Macaca fascicularis: one gene and its partners. The protein of the gene in region 2 interacts with the protein of the main gene of each other region in a pairwise test. Links are inferred from orthologs where the notes say so. Each region holds a gene or a part of one and is shown on either strand. Other genes may lie near its edges.

The links.
Region 1: the proteins of PTPN11 (region 2) and GAB2 interact in binary tests that used the Homo sapiens proteins (3 or more experiments, as listed by UniProt). The link is inferred for Macaca fascicularis from reciprocal best matches to the Homo sapiens genes PTPN11 and GAB2.
Region 3: the proteins of PTPN11 (region 2) and TLK1 interact in binary tests that used the Homo sapiens proteins (3 or more experiments, as listed by UniProt). The link is inferred for Macaca fascicularis from reciprocal best matches to the Homo sapiens genes PTPN11 and TLK1.

What each region holds. Positions count from the first base shown.
Region 1 is NC_088388.1:77,316,529-77,322,808, reverse strand, and holds the start of GAB2 (GRB2-associated-binding protein 2), read left to right. Parts: upstream 1-2,687; 5' UTR 2,688-2,789; coding exon 2,790-2,867; intron 2,868-6,280. UniProt on the Homo sapiens protein: Adapter protein which acts downstream of several membrane receptors including cytokine, antigen, hormone, cell matrix and growth factor receptors to regulate multiple signaling pathways.
Region 2 is NC_088385.1:119,338,996-119,345,449, reverse strand, and holds the start of PTPN11 (tyrosine-protein phosphatase non-receptor type 11), read right to left. Parts: upstream 3,869-6,454; 5' UTR 3,662-3,868; coding exon 3,648-3,661; intron 1-3,647. UniProt on the Homo sapiens protein: Acts downstream of various receptor and cytoplasmic protein tyrosine kinases to participate in the signal transduction from the cell surface to the nucleus. Positively regulates MAPK signal transduction pathway. Dephosphorylates GAB1, ARHGAP35 and EGFR.
Region 3 is NC_088386.1:66,734,551-66,740,693, forward strand, and holds the start of TLK1 (serine/threonine-protein kinase tousled-like 1), read right to left. Parts: upstream 3,594-6,143; 5' UTR 3,086-3,593; coding exon 2,947-3,085; intron 2,480-2,946; exon of another isoform or gene 2,329-2,479; coding exon of another isoform or gene 2,262-2,328; intron 1-2,261. UniProt on the Homo sapiens protein: Rapidly and transiently inhibited by phosphorylation following the generation of DNA double-stranded breaks during S-phase. This is cell cycle checkpoint and ATM-pathway dependent and appears to regulate processes involved in chromatin assembly.

The DNA of each region.
Region 1 (6,280 bases), on a different chromosome or scaffold from region 2:
TTTCCTGAGAATTTAATGAGAATATAAGATTAATGACCCAAAGCACTCTTGGAGCCGGCCATTAACTCCCCCAGGAAATACCAGTGGTCTTTAAACAAAATTGCCTAAATTATGGGCTAGTGATGCATGTCCGCTCAGGGCTTGGGGGTGGGGGGATTGTCACCCCAACTGGTTCCGATAGATGGCGCCTATCTTCATGTAAATCATTCAAATGATTTGTTTTCCATTTTTTTCCCAGCAAAAACCAGGGAGCATTTAAGCAGACACACACAGCAGGGAGTGGAGAGGACTTAGTAAAGGCCCACACAGGAACCTTCTGTCCAAGGGCTGTTTCCAGGCCTGGCACGCCTCTCAGGCTCAAAAGACTGAGCCACTCCAGGGTGCAGCCAGGGACTTCAGCAGCAGTCTTGCTTCCTATGCAGTCCAAGATAGGCACTGGCAGCAAGAGGAACGCAGGATGGGAGTCCAGCTGAAGAGCACAGAGAAAAAGCCCCTTTCGGCCGGGCGCGGTGGCTCACGCCTGTAATCCCAGAACTTTCGGAGGCCGAGGCGGGCGGATCACGAAGTCAGGAGATCGAGACCATCCTGGCTAACATGGTGAAACCCCATCTCTACTAAAAAAAAAAAAAAAATACAAAACATTAGCTGGGCGTGGTGGCGGGCGCCTATAGTCCTAGGGAGGCTGAGGCAGGAGAATGGCTTGAACCCGAGAAGCAGAGCTGGCAGTGAGCCAAGATCACGCCACTGCACTCTAGCCCGCCTTCAACCTTTGGGGAAAGATGTTCAGAGAACCCTTCCCAAAGCTGATACGTGGTGACTATTGTATTCACATTTCAAGGTCCCTCCTGCCATTGGCCAAACAAGAAACATCAAACTTTTCCATTTCTACATGAAATTGTAAATAACACCATCTTTTCCTAAACAAACAAAATAAGACCTTAAAGAATTTCTGGCAGAATATTACCTAACCCCAACTAACTCTTGCTAAACAGCCTTCCAGTCTGTGTATTGAATCATATAACTATCAAAGGATATGTAAAAGACTACTCTTCTGGGGGAAGATAGGGCATACGTCTGCCTGACTTGCATCACAAACCTCAGCTGCAGCCAAACCATGCAGATTTCTTCGACTCTGCAATCCCTGGGACTTGGCACCATGACTCAGATGTGAATGAAGTCAGGATGGGTTTATTTTGGTGGGGAGTCACCGCCTCCTGATTGATTTGGCAGACGTTAAGTATTGTATGTCTTACAGGGATTTAAGGTACTTAAAGCCAGAAGTTAAAATGGCCATCATTCTGGTGGTGGCCCTTCATATGTGACTTAAGGATCCCCAAATTGGAAGGTTAAGGGAGCTGTGGTCCCAGCCTAACAGTTCTGGCTTTACTTCCCATCCAGCAGCACAGTGGATATTGAAGAAAGTCAGTGAAATGTTAGATCCAGGAGACTGACTGCTAAAACTCCTAGGGTATCTAGAAGAGCTAAGTACGTGATAGCGGATTCGCTTTTCCAAACTGAGGAGGGTGAACTTCCCCCAACCCAATCAAGATCTGTTGGACCAAATGATGTCCAACTGCTTGAAACATCTCAGCTGCACAGAGACAGAAATGAACAAAACAGCTTTAGTCTAAGGTTGTGTGGGGCAGTGCAAGATGCTGCTTCTCCAATTCATCTGTCCACACAGCACGGTTCCCCATTGAATAAACAGGATACTATCCACTTATCAGAGAAGTTAGGGAGGACCTGCCTTTTAATGCTGCTTGGAGAGACACTGTCAATGAGCGGGGACGTTGGGGAATTTGGACCCCAATTTCTTGTTCTTCTACACTTGACCTTGCCTTCCAATTCACTATGAAATATATTTACTAGGTTTGCTTCTTCCATTCTACAAATCATGCGAGTTTTCTATACTTAACTGTTTTCCTAGAGGCAATGTAGGAGGGACTCAGCTGGACTTTGTTTCCAGGCAATGAGAGGCTCCCAGGTTGATCCCATTAAGGCAATGCCCTCATTTTGAATAGGGGATGACTGGGACCCCTCCTCCCCCACACACCTGAATTGGAAACTTGGCTAGGCTTTGTACAAGCCCTTGCCCTTAGGCAGTCCATAAAATGGGAACAATACTGAAGACAATCCTGTAAGCCAAGAGTGCAAAGGCTCCGGCGCGTAGTAGGTCCGTCTCCTCCTCCCGCCGAGGGGCGCCAGAGTTAAGGAACTTCTTACTGGGAAGGGGTCCCTCCTTTCAGCAGGAACCTGACCCGCAGAATGGATCGGAAACGCGAGCAACCCTCGGATCCCTTCCCCGTCGACGCTCGGTGAAAAATCGATCGACGACGGAGGGCGCGCAGTCCCTTCTCCGCACGCCCGCCAGCGCCAGGGGCGCGGCCGCCTCCCCGGCCTCCGCGCCCGCAGCTTGAGGCCTCAGGAGAAAGCGAGATTCCGGGGCTCGCCGGCGGCGGTGGCTTTCTGTGTCCTGGCGGATCCCCAGCCCCGCGTCCGCGTGCGCGGCGGCCTCGGGGGCGCGGCGGGAGCGGGCGTGGCGAGCGCGCCGGCCTTCCCGCTGCAACTGCCCCCGCGGCGGCCCGGCGGAGAGTGCGGATTGCGCGCGCTCGGGGCGGGGGAGCGGGCGCGCGCGAGGCCGCCGGGCGCGCGCCGCGCCGCCTAGTCCCCGCCGGGCCGCCCGCCCCGCCCCTGGCCTCCCGCGAGCTGCGCACCGCCGGCCGCTGCCCCAGCTGCCCGAGCCCGCGCCCTAGTCCGCGCGACCCAGCGGCGGGCTCCAGGCCGGCAGCATGAGCGGCGGCGGCGGCGACGTGGTGTGCACCGGCTGGCTGAGGAAATCGCCTCCCGAGAAGAAGTTGAGGCGCTATGTGAGTGCGGGCGCGGCCGCCGAGGGGCGGGCGGGCGGGCGGGGGGCGCTCCGGGGCCTGCGGAGGGGCGGGGGGCTCCCGGAGGGGCGGCAGGCTGGGGAGCTCGGGCCCGGAGCCGCGGGGGCCGGGGGCGAGGAGCGGCCAGGGTCGTGTGGGGTACCTGCACACCTGTCACAGGTGCGCCGCCGAGGGGCGGGGCGGGGCGGGCGGCAGGTTGAGGCTGCGGCTCCTGCTCCGCCAGGCGGGCGCGGCGTCGGCGCCTCCCCAGGCGGTCTGCCCGTAAACTAAATATAGTGTCGAAGTTTGTATTGATGGCTTCTGGAGACCGAGAGAGTTGACTCTCGGGGCTGGGGCTCCGCGGCGGCCCCTAGCAGCTTCAGCTCACAGGTCCGGGAGAGGGCGGGAAAGGGGGGCGTAGGCTGTGGGCCCGCGCGGACGGCCCCACAAAGGGCGAGCGCCTCACGCCCTCTCCTTCCCTTTCTCCGCCCGCCCCTCCCGGCCGCCGGCCTCACTCCGTCCGCGGCTGCATCACCGGCAGCGTCAGCGGCATGTGCAGCCCTTGTATTAAGTGACTCATTTGTTTGTCCCCCTTCTCTCCCTTTATTCCGTTCGTCTCTCACAGGCGCCTCCCCCGACCCCGGTGTGACACTGCAGTTTGGTCCCCGTGGCTGGCCCGGGTTTGGGACCTGGCAGCTCCCGGTTGTCTGGGGTCGGGAGAGATCGAGGCTCTCGGCGCCCAGGTGTTGCCAACCCACAGTGTTTACTGACATCGCTGGAACAGCCTCTTCCCTCTAGGTGGGGAACTGGCAGTTTGGGGGAGGTGGAACGGCGTGGCGCTGAGCCGTGGAGTTCTGGCTTTTTTTTTTTTTTTTTTTTAACCCCTCTCCCCAGAGGATGCCTTGCCTGGTGAGGTCAAAGTACAAGATGGTGCCAGTTACTGAGATTTTGCCGAAATGGTCCTGGGGTAGTCGCGGGAGTTTGGAAGTGGGGGTAAGGTGGCTGGAAGGTTTCAAGGTCTCTCATCTGCTCCCTCTCCTTTTCCCATGAAATGCCCTTGTTTAACGGGCTGTGGTGCCGGACTCCGGGATCACTCCCACAGCCTGGAAGGGAGCCGTTGCCTCCAGCTGCAGTGCATCAAGGGAGCTCGGAATAGACCCTGCCCTCTGTCAGCTGCACCAGTGGCTGTCCATGGGGGGAGAAGCAGAAGCCTACCAGAATTTCCTGTCTTGGCTCCCCAGATCAGAATCAAGGGACTTCTGGCCTCTGGACTGAGGAAGTGACATTCTGTTTTTCAAAGGAAGTGTTGTTGTTGCGGAGTGCAAGTGTGTGTGTCAATGAAATCAGGCTCTTACGTAGATGTTTGCTAGGAAAAAAAAAATTCTGATTTAGCACATGACTTTTGAAAGTGGACGTGGATTTATAGGAGGGATGAAGCAGTGAATTGTTCATCTCAGTTTGAAAGCTCATTTTTAGGAGTGTCTATGTAGCCAAAGTATAATTATTAAGAAATACACTTTTTTCCTCTTCAGGCTTGTATCAGTTCGTTAGGAAGGTTGAATACTTTAATTAGGATTAAGGAGCAGTGATTTACTATTAACAATTTAATAAATATTTTTAAAACTTTGTCCCAAAGAGCTTCCAAAAATTATCTTTACAAATAGATTTCCATACAAGCTAGTGGAATAGAGTGTCCACAGTAAAAAAAAAGAAAAAGTGACCCTTAGTTTTCAAATTTGAACACTACACTAAACCTTGAAACTTGTTTTTGAAACAATTTGCAAACAGTATGACATTGTATCTCCATTTGACTTACCGCTCCTTGAACGCTCACCCAGACTCTCTTTATGACCCATTTCTTGGGTGTTTTTGTTCCCAAACAACTTTAGTTCAAAAAAACCAGGTTTGGAGGCATTTGGGTCAAGCACCTTTTTCACTCATTTGAACGAATCTAGAATCGTGTGATGGCCTTAGCCTCTCTTTCCCATCTTCGATGCACCTTCAGCCCATCAGGTGTCAGACCTTAACAGCTTTCAGTAACAGCTTTTCTTAGGCCAGGATGTGATGTGTTCACTTACATGACTGGAAGCCTCTGCCCTTTCGAAAGTTCAGTTTCCCCCCAGTTGAAACTGCTGATCTGTGTAACCTTAAGCTTCCGGGGAACAGTATTCTTTTACGTCTACTGTTTTTGGGGGTATTAAGAATTTTTGCATCCTGTTGTAAGTTAAAACTCTGCTAGTTTGCTTATTTCAGTAGAGGCCCGAGTTCATCAGAACCAAACTTGGAAAGTATTTCCCAGCCTAATGGCTGTATATTTACCCCAAAGTAGCTGCTGCTTCTGGTATACATCATAGTCATGTTATATTGTACTGAGAAATCCTCTTTATAAGAATGCCACAAGCATATGAGATAAGGGGAAAAAGTAGTTGATGAACTAGGTTATAACTATTTAAAACGATTTTTTTAAAAACTGATTTAATTCGAAGGCTGGGCGCAGTGGTTTATGCCTGTAATCCCAGCACTTTGGGAGGCTGAGGCCGGCAGATCACTGGAGGTCAGAAATTCGAGACCAGCCTGGCCAAAACCCCGTCTCTACCATAAATACAAAAATTAGCTGGGCGTTGTGGAGGGCACCTGTAGTCCCAGTTACTCAGGAGGCTGAGACATGAGAATTGGGTGAGTCTGGGAGGCTGAGGTTGCAGCAAGCCGAGATTGCACCACTGCACTCCAGCCTGGGTGAGAGAATGAGACTCCATTTCAAAGAAAAACAAAAAACTTATTTAATTCAGAAAGACAAGGAGGTGCAGAGGGGGGAAACATCTTAGAAGAAGCAAAGGCAAATGTTTGAGCAATTAGTTTTCAGATATTTTTTCATCAGCCTTTTCTAGTTAATTATAAGTATAAAAGATCTATCTGCTATTTGCTGAGTGCCCTGGAGAAATTACAAAAAATGACTTTGGAAAATGCTGACTATTGCCCCTGGGGCATCCTGATACGGTTGCAGTGGGAGGTTGGCAGGAGTAACAACCCTCCCATCGTGCCTCAGTGTATTTGTGTGTGTATGCGTGTGCATGCAAATGCATATACACGTACATGTATATAAATCTTAAACAGAATTTTCTTGAGGAAAAACATTTTATTAATATGACCTACACTGCATTGTAGTTTTCAATTTCACTGGGTTAAAAGATTTAGGGAATAAAATTGGCAGACTGCCCCCTAGTGGCTAACTTGAAAGTTGTGCACAAATTTTAATGAACAACTGCATTAAGGTAACAGTAATTGTTTATTTCCATTGTATTTGTTAAATATACTTATTAAATCTATGTCCTAGGTACTTCAGGTGCTTGGAATAAAAATTCAGTAAATAAAAAGAAAGAACATTAATCCAGCCTTTCAGTCTTAGCAATGGCTTT
Region 2 (6,454 bases):
GGCTGAGGCAGGAGAATCGCTTGAATTTGGGAGGCAGAGGTTGTGGTGAGCCGAAATCGTGCCATTGCACTCCAGCCTGGGTAACAAGAGTGAAACTCCGTCTCAAAAAAAAAAAAAGAGAAAAGAAAGAAAGAAAGAAAGAAACTAGCAATATTTTCCTATCTTACTGCTTTATCCTGCCTGGCTCATTAACTTCCTGTTGAATGAATTAATACTAGGTTAAAGTAATTTGAAGGCCAGACACAGTGGATCATGCCTGTAATCCCAGCACTTTGGGAGGCCAAGGCAGGAAGATCGTTTGAGCCCAGGAGTTTGAGACCAGTCTAGCCAACCTGGCAAAACTCTGTCTCTACAAAAAAATTCAAAAATTAGCCGAGTGTGGTGGTGCACACTTGTAGTCCCAGTAATCGGCAAGCTGAGGAGGAAGGATGGATTGAGCCTAGGAAAACAAGGCTGCAGTGATCGCACCACTGCACTCCAGCCTGGGCAACAAAGCGAGACTCTATCTCAAAAAAACATAATAATAACAATAATAATAAAATTCTAGGGCTGGGCAGGGTGTCTCACGCCTATAATCCCAACACTGCAGTAGGCCAAGGTGAGAGGATCGCTTGAACCCAGGGGTTTGAGACTGCCCTGGGCAACACAGTGAGACCCCATCTCTATTCAAACAATTTAAAAATTTTAAAAAAACAAAAAAATTTTAGGAGATATAAACTAATATATAGTGACAGAAAGCAGAACAGTGGCTAAGAACAAACGAGGGATTACAAAAAACATGAGGCAAAATTACGAGGGACAATAGATGTGTTCATTATCTTGACTGTGGTGGTGGTTTCCCAAGTGTATATGTATGTCAAAACTGATCAAATTGTACATTTAAATATATGCATTTAATTGCATGTCATTTATAGCTCAGTAAGGCTGGTTAATAAAACAGACTTATAATCTAAAAAATGATAAATCATTCAAAATTCTGTGTATTATGTTCATAATCTGGCTTTTTGGGTGGTACACAATACCAGGGCTGGAGGGGAAAAGGAACAACTCCATTTCAAACTGTCATCTTTACCACTTGCTGCTTTGACTATGCCCACACTTCCATGCTTCTAAACTAACAAACTGGACAATGTAGGGTCTAATACTACACAGATCTTTTCCCAACCCTCAGCCCCCTAAAGCAGCAAATCCTTACTTGTCTGGAAGAGCAGACACCAGGAACAAAAGGCTCAATGACTATTAGACAGATTAAAGAATAGACAACTGTTTATTTAAAAGCTCCCTAAAGAATTAGAACATTTGAGGCTATACACTGTTCCGTTGAAATGCAGTTATATATTACCCAGATCCGCAAGCACTTGCCAACAGACCTGTCCAAGTCACTCACTTCCTACGAGTTCTGTTTTCTTTTTTCTCCCCTTTTTAAATTCCAGATCCATGTAAGAATAACATGCCAGGTCTGTTTGGAGGAGACATTCCTAATATTTTGAAAAATCTCATTCAGGCCGGGTGCGGTGGCTCACGCCTGTAATTCCAGCACTTTGGGAGGCCGAGGCAGGCGGATCTCGAGGTCAGGAGTTTAAGACCAATCTGGCCAACATAGTGAAACCCCGTCTCTACTAAAAATACAAAACTCGGCCGGGCACGGTGGCTCATGCTTGTAATTCCAGCACTTTGGGAGGCCGAGGCGGGCGGATCACAAGGTCAGGAGATCGAGACCATCCCGGCTAACATGGTGAAACCCCGTCTCTACTAAAAATACAAAACATTCGCCAGACGTCGTGGCGGGCACCTGTAGTCCCAGCTACTTGAGAGGCTGAGGCAGGAGGATGGCTTGAACCCAGAAGGCGGAGCTTGTAGTGAGCCGAGATTGCGCCACGGCACTCCAGCCTGGGCAAGAGAGCGAGACTCTGTTTCAAAAAAAAAAATTAGGCCGGGCGCAGTGGCTCAAGCCTGTAATCCCAGCACTTTGGGAGGCCGAGACGGGCGAATCACGAGGTCAGGAGATGGAGACCATCCTGGCTAACACGGTGAAACCCCGTCTCTACTAAAAAATACAAAAAACTAGCAGGGCGAAGTGGCGGGCGCCTGTAGTCCCAGCTACTTGGGAGGCTGAGGCAGGAGAATGGCGTGAACCCGGGAGGCGGAGCTTGCAGTGAGCTGAGATCCGGCCACTGCACTCCAGCCTGGGCGACAGAGCATGACTCCGTCTCAAAAAAAAAAAAAAAAAAAAAAAAAAAAAAAAAAAAAAAAAAATTAGCCAGGCATAGTGGCATGCCGATAGTCCCAGCTACTTGGGAGGTTGAGGCAGGAGAATCGCTTGAACCTAGGAGGCGGAGGTTGTGGTGAGCCGAGATCGTGCCACTGCACTCCAGCCTGGGCTGTTAACAGAGTGAGACTCCGTCTCAAAAAAAGAGAAAAAAAAAGAAAGAAAAAAAAATCTCATTCAAATAGCCTCAATAGCTTGAATCGTTTTTTAAATGTCTGAGACAGTGACCATAATTGAACAACCATGGAAAAGAATAGACAATGGGTCTTAAGTGTGAGTGGTATATAGAGTGATTATATAAAATAGCAGGATCATTATCTGAAAACAAGTCACACTACTGTTTGACAACAAAATTAAGGCTTACAAGTGGTTAGCAATAGTTACAAAATAATAGAAGCAACATAGTGATTAAAAGTAGGGATTCTGTCTCCACCACCTACTAGCTGTGAGGTTAAGCAATCTACTTAACCTCTCCGAAACTCGGTTTACTCATCTTTACAATGGGGATAATAGTAGCCATCTGAGAGGGCTGTCGTCAGAACTAAGCAAATGTTAGCTATTAGTAGTAATATTACCCTGATCTTTCAAAGGATCTCATTAACTCACTAATTCTCCTTAGTTTCAAATCTTGTCATTTACTAGCATGTTGCTTCTGGGCCTCGGTTTCCTCATCCATAAAACGGGTACCAGTAAAGTGACCTGACTGTTAAGGTTGCAGTGAAGGATTAAATAACGAGATGCGGCTCCCTTCCTTTCCATCTCCCAAAGCGAATATCGCAGAGGAAGGAAATACTTCTAGTGGCTGCAGATACAGTCAGTTTTTCCATTTCTGGCACGTGAGGGGTGGGAGAAAAAGAAGACACAAAGGGGCACATAAAAGGGTCAGGGGTCCTTCGTTAAGACCCCAAATGCACGCAAGTGGCACAGTGACCCAGAACGACTAGACCACTGGGGGCCCGGCCCCGCGCAACTCCCATCTCGTGTCCCAAGGAGCCTCCCCAAGTGAGCAGGGTTATTTCGGAATCACCATGAGGCAATTCTCATGAGGCAATGGGTCAGGAATGCGGCGCTGAGCCGGGCCGCTGGCGCCCGTGGTTCCCTAGGCGGCTCTACCTGCCCCAGGCCTGACGGGCATCCCCCGGGCTGCCGCAGCCGGAACTCAGGGAGGCAGGAAATGAATGGGGACCCAAGGGGTGGGGGCGCGGTGGGGCCGGCCCCCGGGCCGAGGAGGGACAGGGGACGAGGAGGGAACTGGCCCCCAATCCCGATCCGGGGCGGGAGCCCGAAGCCCGGCCGGGGCGCCCCCTTCCGGACGGGGCTGACCGAATGCGGCGGGGGCCGGGCCGAGGCCCGGGCCGGGCCCCTCGGGGCTCCTCACCTCCGCGATGTCATGTTCCTCCCGCCCTCCGGCTCCGCGACGGACCCGCTCCTTGCTCAAGCTCCACTAGGCTCGGTCACATCGGGCTGGCCCGAGGGAGGCCCGCTCGGGACCGGACGCGGGGCAGAGCCAGCCGGCCGCGCACAGACCCCCCTCCAGGCCTGGGGATCCCGGAGACTGTGCAGCCGCCCCCCGGCCCGGCTCGCTCCTCCTCCGCCCCCGCCCTTCGCCGCCGTCGCCCCCGTGATGTCACCGCTAGCGACGCCCGCCGCCACTTCCTGCTTCCCGTTAGCCGAGGACGGAGCCACGGCCGGGAATGGCAGCGCGGGGGTTCCGCGGAGGCGCTAAGCGCAGCGTCCAAAGCATCCTTGCTTCCTCCCGGAAATCGCGGCCGCCGGGTGTGAGCTGCGCGCTCGGCGGCTACGCCACTCCACCGACCGGGCGCGTCCGGGCCCACTGCCACATCGATTTCATTCATTTCGTTCCACAAATCGCCACTCGACTCATTAGCTGTGGAACCTTGGGGAATTACCTACTGTCTCCGAGCCTCAGTTTCCTCCATTAGGCTGGGCGCGGTGGCTCACGCCCGTAACCCCAACAATTTAGGAGGCTGCAGCAAGAGTGTCGCTTAAGCCTAGGAGCTAGAGGCCAGCCTGGGCAAAAAAGACCTCATCTCTACAAAAAATGCAAAACCCTAGCCAGGCGTGGAGGCTGCGGCGGGAGGATAACTTAAGCCCGGGAAGTCGGTGCTGCAGTGAGTCGTGATCACGCCACTGCCCTCCAGCCTGGGCGACAGCAAGACACTGCCTAAAAAAACTAGTAATAGACCGGGCGCGGTGGCTCACGCCCGTAATCCCAGCACTTTGGGAGGCCGAGGCGGGCGGATCACGAGGTCAAGAGATCGAGACCATCCTGGCCAACATGGTCTCCACTAAAAATTCAAAAATGAGCTGGACGTGGTGGCGTTCGCCTGTAATCTCAGCTACTTGGGAGGCTGAGGCAGGAGAATCGCTTGAACCTGGGAGGCAGAGGTTGCGGTGAGCCGAGGTCGCACCACTGCGCTCCAGCCTGCAATAGAGCCAAACTCCGTCTCGATAATAATAATAACAAATACTACTTTGGGGTGGGAGCAGTGGCACACGCCTGAAATCCCAGCACTTCCCTTTGGGAGGCTGAGGCGGGCGAATCGCTTGAGTCCAGGAGTTGGGAACCAGCCCCGGCAAAATAGTGAAATCCCATCTCTACAAAAAATACAAAAATTAGCCGGGCGTGGTGGCACGCGCCTGTAGTCCCAGCTACTCGGGAGGCTGAGGTGAGAGAATTGCTTGAGCCTGGAGGGTCGAGGCTGCTGTGAGCCGAGATCAGGCCACTGCACTCAGGCCAGGTATGGTGGCTCACACCTTCATCCCAGCACTTTGGGAGGCCGAGGCAGGAGGATTGCTTGAGCCTAGGAGTTCAAGATCAGCCGGGGCAACATGGCACGACCCTGTCTCTAAAACAAAAAACAAACAAACGAAAAAGCTGGGTGGTGGGGAAGTATTATTTTGGACACTGTGAAGCTCGAGGAAGAGGGCAAGGCCAGAAACGGAGAAGCCAGTCAAAATACGGGAATACTGTAGTATTCTGGTCTGGGAATAATGGTGACTCAGACCAGATTGAGAAGAGTAGAGTTTTTTTACTTGATTGATGCCCATATAACTCATTGAAGGCTACAGATCTAGCTGGGTGTGGTGGCTCACACCTGTAATCCCAGGACTTTGGGAGGCCAAGGTGGGTGGATCATCTGAGGTCAGGAGTTCAAGACCAGCCTGGCCAACATGGTGAAACCCCATCTCAACTAAAAATACAAAGATTAGTCGGGGTTGGTGGCGCACACCTGTAGTCCCAGCTACTCCGGAGGCTGAGGAGGGAGAATTGCTTGAACCAGGCAGACAGAGGTTGCAGTGAGCCCAGATCGCACCACTGCACTCCAGCCTGGGCGACAGGACAAGACTCTCAAAATAAATAAATAAAGGCTACAGATCTAGTGAATGGCAGAGCCATAAATTTAACCCATATCTATATAGCTCCAGCATCCTCATTGTTTTAATGCTTGCCCATTTCATTCATATACAAATGACTTTCATACTGTGTGCTAACTGCTTCAGCACTCATGTGCTCCTTACAGAGATCACCTTTAATATATGTCAATTTAATTCACATAATAGCCATTCAACAAGCATTTGTCCCTCTCCCTAAACCTGGCCACCTAGATGACAAGCAACATTTTAACTGATCTCAGGCCTGCAGGCCTAAACTTCCTAATCCAATCTCCACATAGTAGCCAGAGGAATCTAAACTACAAAACTAGGTGGGGCACCGTAGCTCATGCCTGTAATCCCAGCACATTGAGAGGCCAAGGCAGGTGGCTCACCTGAGGTCAGGAGTTCGAGGCCAGTCTGGCCAACATGGTGAAACCTCGTCTCTACTAAAAATACAATTAATTGTGGCCAGGCACAGTGGCTCACACCTATAATCCCAGCACTTTGGGAGGCCGAGGCAGGTGGATCACCTGAGGTCAGGAGTTTGAGACCAGCCTGGCCAACATGGTGAAACCCAATCTCTACTAAAAATACAAAATTTAGCTGGGTGCAGTGGTAGGCACCTGTAGTCCCAGCTACTTGGGAGACTGAAGCGAGAGAATTGCTTGAACCCAGGAAGTGGAGGTTGCAGTGAGCCAAGATTGCGCCACTGCACTCCAGCCTGGGCGACAGAGCGAGACTCCATCTCAAAAAAAAAAAAAAAAACTGCAAAACTAGTCACTCCCT
Region 3 (6,143 bases), on a different chromosome or scaffold from region 2:
AAACTGGGCTTTACTTGAAAACCTTTTTAACTCCTCACTCCCTTAATCACAGGATTATAGAAGACAAAATGGGATGGAGATTATAGGTTTAAAAGATTCAACAGAAAATCTAGAGCTACATTACTGAACACCTCAAACAGAACCACAAGATTGGTAAGGTAAAAAGCTTTGAGACCCAGGGAAAAGAAATCTACACTATATTTATCATATAATTTCCTAAATTCTAATAGACTCCCAAATCTTAAAGAGCTGTATTGTGTTTGTAATAAAACTATGTGAATATGATAATGGTAATAAGGTAAAAAGAGAGAAAGAAAACCACAACATACAGCATCAAAAATAATCGGATTATAATCTTAGATTTTTGGTTTCCAACGTCAAAACTTCAAAATAAGTAACTTTTACAGATGCTTATGGCATATCTTTAAAAGTAACCCATTTTCAAAGTTAAATTTGCCTAAAAGGAGTTCATCACATAGAATATTTAAGTTCATATACATGTTCATCTCTTTGAAGTTTCAATTCTTCTATTACTCTATGTTAAACTGGCTCCACTTTTCAAGAAACAAAGTTAGTTCTCTTCTTGACACATAGAATACATTCAAGTTCCATTAATATCAATGGTTCTTACTAGCAGTAACTAGCCGTCAAAAAGCTTTCTAAAACTTCATCAATTTATATAATGTAGTAACATGTATACCTGAAAAAAGTGCTAAACACTTGTTAAAATAAAAACTGAGATTTCGCTTAATAGAAAACATCTCCATTTTGATACTCAGGGCTTCATATTCCTGTTAGCGTTAGTGAAATCTGAGAACACATCGCCAAACTTCAAAATGAATATAACCCTAGAGAGGATTAATAGTTTTAACTTGCATGCTGGTTGGTCAAAAAGAAATATCCCTCTGTAGCTATACAGGTACTTGGCATGAAGTGTAACTTTCACAAAAGCCCGTCCTATGATATCACGAATTAACAGAAACTCACTACTTCAGGTTACATAAAAACCCACTGCAATCTAAACTGCCAGAAAAAATTTATGGTTATCTGGAAGCTCAACCTAAACGATTCCAACCCCTCCAAATTTTCAAACATCAGGAAAAGTGCAGAATGTTTTTAAGTTGAAGTAACCTCAGAAACTCACAATCTAGATATTTTGTCTCCCAAATTCCCAATACTGATAACAGATGTCAACAGATAAACAATTCAATACTATGTCCTCAGTATGTAGTTCACGGACTGGCTCACAGTAATGGCTCAATAAATATTCGAGAAACGAATGAATGAACGAATGAATGATGATATAGTCTTAAATTAAGAAACGATAAAATGGTCTTTTTAAACTCACAACACTAACACAAAACATCTTAATGAAACTACAAACAAAAGTAAAAGCATGCTAAAAGCACCAACTTCTCTATGAAATACATTTTAAACCGTTCATTTGGAAATTTTCAAGTGCAAAAGAATCATCAGATAAATTTTTAGTCATTTAATACTTTTATATTCTAATAATGAAAGCTCAGCGTTGGGATAAGATGAAAGGGAGAAACGTCAGTCAATGTATTCCGCCTGTTTAATGGATCCCATAAATCAAAGCTTTCCGTGAATTTTCTAGAGCATATTCATGCCAATCTTTTAAGCCTATTGTCACTTTCACACATGCTCACAGGAACAAAATGACAAAGAATGCTATGCCTGAACCACTGGATTCAGGACACAAAACACTTGATTAACAATTGTCAAGGCTCTGAATAGTAAATATCGACAGACATTTTCAAAATAAAGTACTCCCACCGATTCCTACATAAATCGAAGCTCTTGATTTCTTTAAAACATTCACTAGACTGCTGAACTTCCAGACGTTTGAAAATATGCCTACAATCTCCTCGTGTGCGACAACTGGGAGTGAACAACCCGTTTATCAATTGCGGATGAACATCGCTAAGCGTTTTCCAGACAAAAGAGCGTTAAAAGACATTCCATGCACATTTATTCATCACCCATAAATGTGTTTTCTCCCAAATTTCATTTTATGTCGTATACTTAAAGTTAAATACAGCAAGTTGAAATTTTAGTCAAAAGCACGCCGGTGCCTTACAAGCTGTCTAACTGCTACATCTGGTGGCAGCACACTTGCTTGCAAGAAGCCAGAAAACTTAGAAAACAATTGTAACCGATCTGGTGCATGTTTGCAATAACCTTTACGCAGATATTTCCCACAAAACCCACGACCCTGTCAGAGAAGAACAGTAGCCTACTTGCAGCAGAGAATATAACGCACAAACACGCAGGAGGCAACGGCGGAGGAGAGAAAGTTGCAACCATCTGGAGGGGCGGTTTTAAAAGCCTGCCCACGAGTCAGTCTGTCGTTTAAATTGCTCTAGGGGGCCACACAGGGGATCAAAGTCTGCCTAGGTAATTTCAGTGTCTCTCCCCAAATGAGAGACCCTGCAAGCGAGGGGCATCCTCCAGGTCTGGGGCAGCAAAGCTCGCAGAGCGGGGACCGCCTCTATGGGAGGAGTGCGCGGGGGAAGGGGAGGGGGCTCGAGGACGAAGGCTCCAGCGGGAGGGAAAACCCACCAGAGACCGGAGGCCAGGAGGTTAAGAGTACTGAGTGTGCTGGCAAATGGAGCAGAAAGGGGCTCGCGTCCGGGGGGAGGCTTCCCACCCTCGCAGAACTGGCTCCCAGGAACCCCAGGCGAGTCTGTGCGCCTCGCCCCGTCCCCACCAGCGCGCACCCCCTCGTCCGTCTCTACCGCCACCCGCGAACCACCACCCACAGCCAGGGCAATACCTCCCCAGGGCCGGGGAGCCAGGCGGCCTCGCGTCCACCTCGCCACCATCCCCCACCCCGGGGTCTGGCGGAGGAGCCCCGGGGGGGCGCGGGGGTCCGCGGCACGGGAGGGGAGGCCCGCGAGCGGGCGCGGGCGCGGCAGTGCTTACCTTCCCTGGGCCTCCCGGATGGCGGCGTGTGATTCAGCAGGGACCTGGCCGCCGCCGCCGAGCCCGGGGTTGGAGACGTGGAGAGCTGGGACCAAGATGGCGGCCCCTCCAAACTTCCACTGCTACTTTGGACACTCATCAAGCTACTTTCTGGGAACCCGACTCCCCCCCTGCGACGGCAGCGGCGGCAACGGCACCGGCACCCGCCTCCGTCATGGCGGGGGCCGCGCTAAGGGCGAGCTAAAGAGCGAGGGCTGGGAGGGGAGAGTCAAGGGGATGGGGGAGGAAACCGAGAAGAGGGGCGGTGGGGAGGAAAGAGGTGAGGGAAGGAGAGGGGACAGGGAGGAGGGAAAGGGGGAGAAGCGAGGGAGCGGGCGGGCGCGCCGGAGAAGAGGCGGAGGGAAGGAGCGCGGCGGCGGAGGCGTCGAGGGGGTGCCCTGGGGCCGGGGTCGGAGCGCGGGCGGAGCGCGGGCTGCGCCGGCCGAGGAGACTTCCGCGGGCGGAACCTGCCGGCACCTCTGCAGTGCGTCGGCCCCCGGCGTCGCCCGGGAGGCGGCGGCGGCGGGCGGTGGGTGGCGGCTGAGGCAGCGGGGTAACCTCTGCATCAGTTACAGGCGGCGGCGGCGTCACGCGCCGCCTGTGCAAACACTATCGCGAGGCTCCTGCGCCTCCGGTAGCGGCGGCGGCGGCAGCGGCGGCCGCGGGAGCAGGCTTGGGGGAGGGACCTGCCAGAGACTGGAGGGGGGGTGGGGGCATGGGGAGGGAGCGAGCGCGCGAGGGAAGAGACGAGAGCGTCGGGGCGACCCTGCCGCACCCGCGGATCGCCGCGCGGCGCGGGAGCCCGGGGTTGCCGGACTCGCGTGCGCGGGGGCAGCGTCCCCGCGCCGGCCGGAGGGAGGCGCGCCCCCGCCGCGCCACTCGGGCTCGGGCGCTGCTGCCACCTGACTCCCCCTCTATTCCCGCGGAAGCGCGCCTGGCTCCTGACCCACACCCAACCCGGGGAGAAATGCTGCTGCTCTCGCTCAGCTGCCGCTTCTCTGGAGTTCAATGTGATCGTTTCTGAAAATGGAACTGAAAAGTTGAAAGTTCCTTCTTTCTTGTCCCTCTGTACTATGCAGAAAAACGTATGTGCGCCTCCCCGTCTGCAGAATGGGAATAATGACCGAATAAAAGAGCTCTGAAATGGGTAGTGGGAGAGTTGGGAAATAAAACTTTCTCGTGTTTTCTAAAAAAGAGTGAAGGAATCTTTAATGAAGAAATTGAAAATTACCGGTTTCGTAGACTGTATGGTATAGCAATTCTTGGTTTTAAAACAGTAAGTGGAAAATCTAAATGAAAAATGTGATTACTGAATTCACATACTTAGGAAAACAGCGTTCATCTTGTAGAAGGTATGGTTTCTAGAAATTTCTAATTTGTTTCTAGTATCTCCGCTGAGTCCCGACTACAAAAATCCCAAAACAAATGACAGCATTTGCTAAAATGTATTGATACAGTGTAGCTTTCTACAGACCCACACAAGTACACTCACACCAGGGACTGGGCTTCTTGTACATAAAAGAGCAGTCTAGTTCAGGAAAAGTACAACAAGGTTATTTCTCTCTAAAAAAACCAAATTGCATAGAGCACTAAAAAGATTATAACATAACGCTACTGCACAGACATGAGGAAATGGCATGATTACCAGGGGGACAAAAATGTCGTTTCTATTTTTTATTTTTATGACTTTGCATTTCTCATAGTAATGTTTTGTTCAGATAAACTATCATACTAGAAAAGAACCTTGATTGTCAGTTATCTCCAAAAGTAATTGTAGTTGCCTTGTGCTTTAGATACTTCAGTGAGTTTTTAGTCTTGTCTGCTTTTCAAACTTAAGAGGGACATCTCACAACTTTATTGGGGTATGATTGACAAAATAAACTGCACATATTTAAAGTGTACAATTTCTGGCCGGGCGCGATGGCTCACACCAGTAACCCCAGCACTTTGGGAGGCTGAGGCGGGCGGATCATGAGGTCAGGAATTTGAGAACAGCCTGGCCAATATGGTGAAACCCCGTCTCTACTAAAAATACAAAAATTAGCCGGGTGTGGTGGCACGTACCTGAGTCCCAGCTACTGGGGAGGCTGAGGTAGGAGAATGGCTTGAACCTGGGAGGCGGTGGTTGCGGTGAGCCAAGATCGCGCCATTGCACTCCAGCCTGGACGACAGAGCGAGACTCCTAGACTCCGTCTCAAAAATAAAAATAAAAATAAAGTGTACAATTTGATAAGTTTTGATATATATACATCCCTGAAACCACTTCTACAAGGAAAGTGGTGAATGTATCTATCACCCTCCAAAGTTTCCTCTATCCCTTTGTGGTTCCTCCTCCACTCTACTTCCATTCTCTCTAACCACAGATCTTCTTTCTGTCATATGGGTAGCTTTACATTTCATAGAATTTTAGATAAATGTTGGCCATACAGTCAATTTGTACTCTTGTCTGCCTTTTTTTTTTTTTTTTTTTTTTTTTTTTTTGAGACAGAGTCTTACTCTGTTTTGCCCAGGCTGGAGTACCATCTTGGCTCACTGCAGCCTCTGCCTCCCAGGTTCAAATGATTCTCCTGCCTCAACCTCCTGAGTAGCTGGAATTACAGGCATGTGCCCCTACACCCAGCTAATTGTGTATTTTTAGTAGAGACAGGGTTTCACCACGTTGGCCAGGCTGGCCTCCATCACCTGACCTCAGGTGATCTGCCCAGTTTGGCCTCCCAAAGTGCTGGGATTACAGGCATGAGCCACTGTGCCCGGCCTTGTCTGACTTCTTTCACTCAACATCATTATTTTGAGAGATTCGTCCACATTGTTGCATTATCAATAGTTTTTATTTTTAAGTAGCGTTCCAGTGAATGAGTATACCACACTTGTTTATCCATTAAACTATTGATGGACATTTGCATTGTTTTCACTTTTTGGCTATTATGAATAATGGTGCTAAGAACATTCATGTACAAGTCTTCCTGTGGACATGGACTTTCCTTTCCCTTGGATACATACCCAAGATCTTGCCATTCGATTTTTATACCTGAGTACATGCACTATAAGAGGAACAGAGTTTCTGTAATGACATGTTGATAAATGTATGCTCTTTCTGTATTTTTAAGAGTAGGCTTAGTCAGGAGATTGTGGTGAAAAGCATATGGGACAGGAAGGAA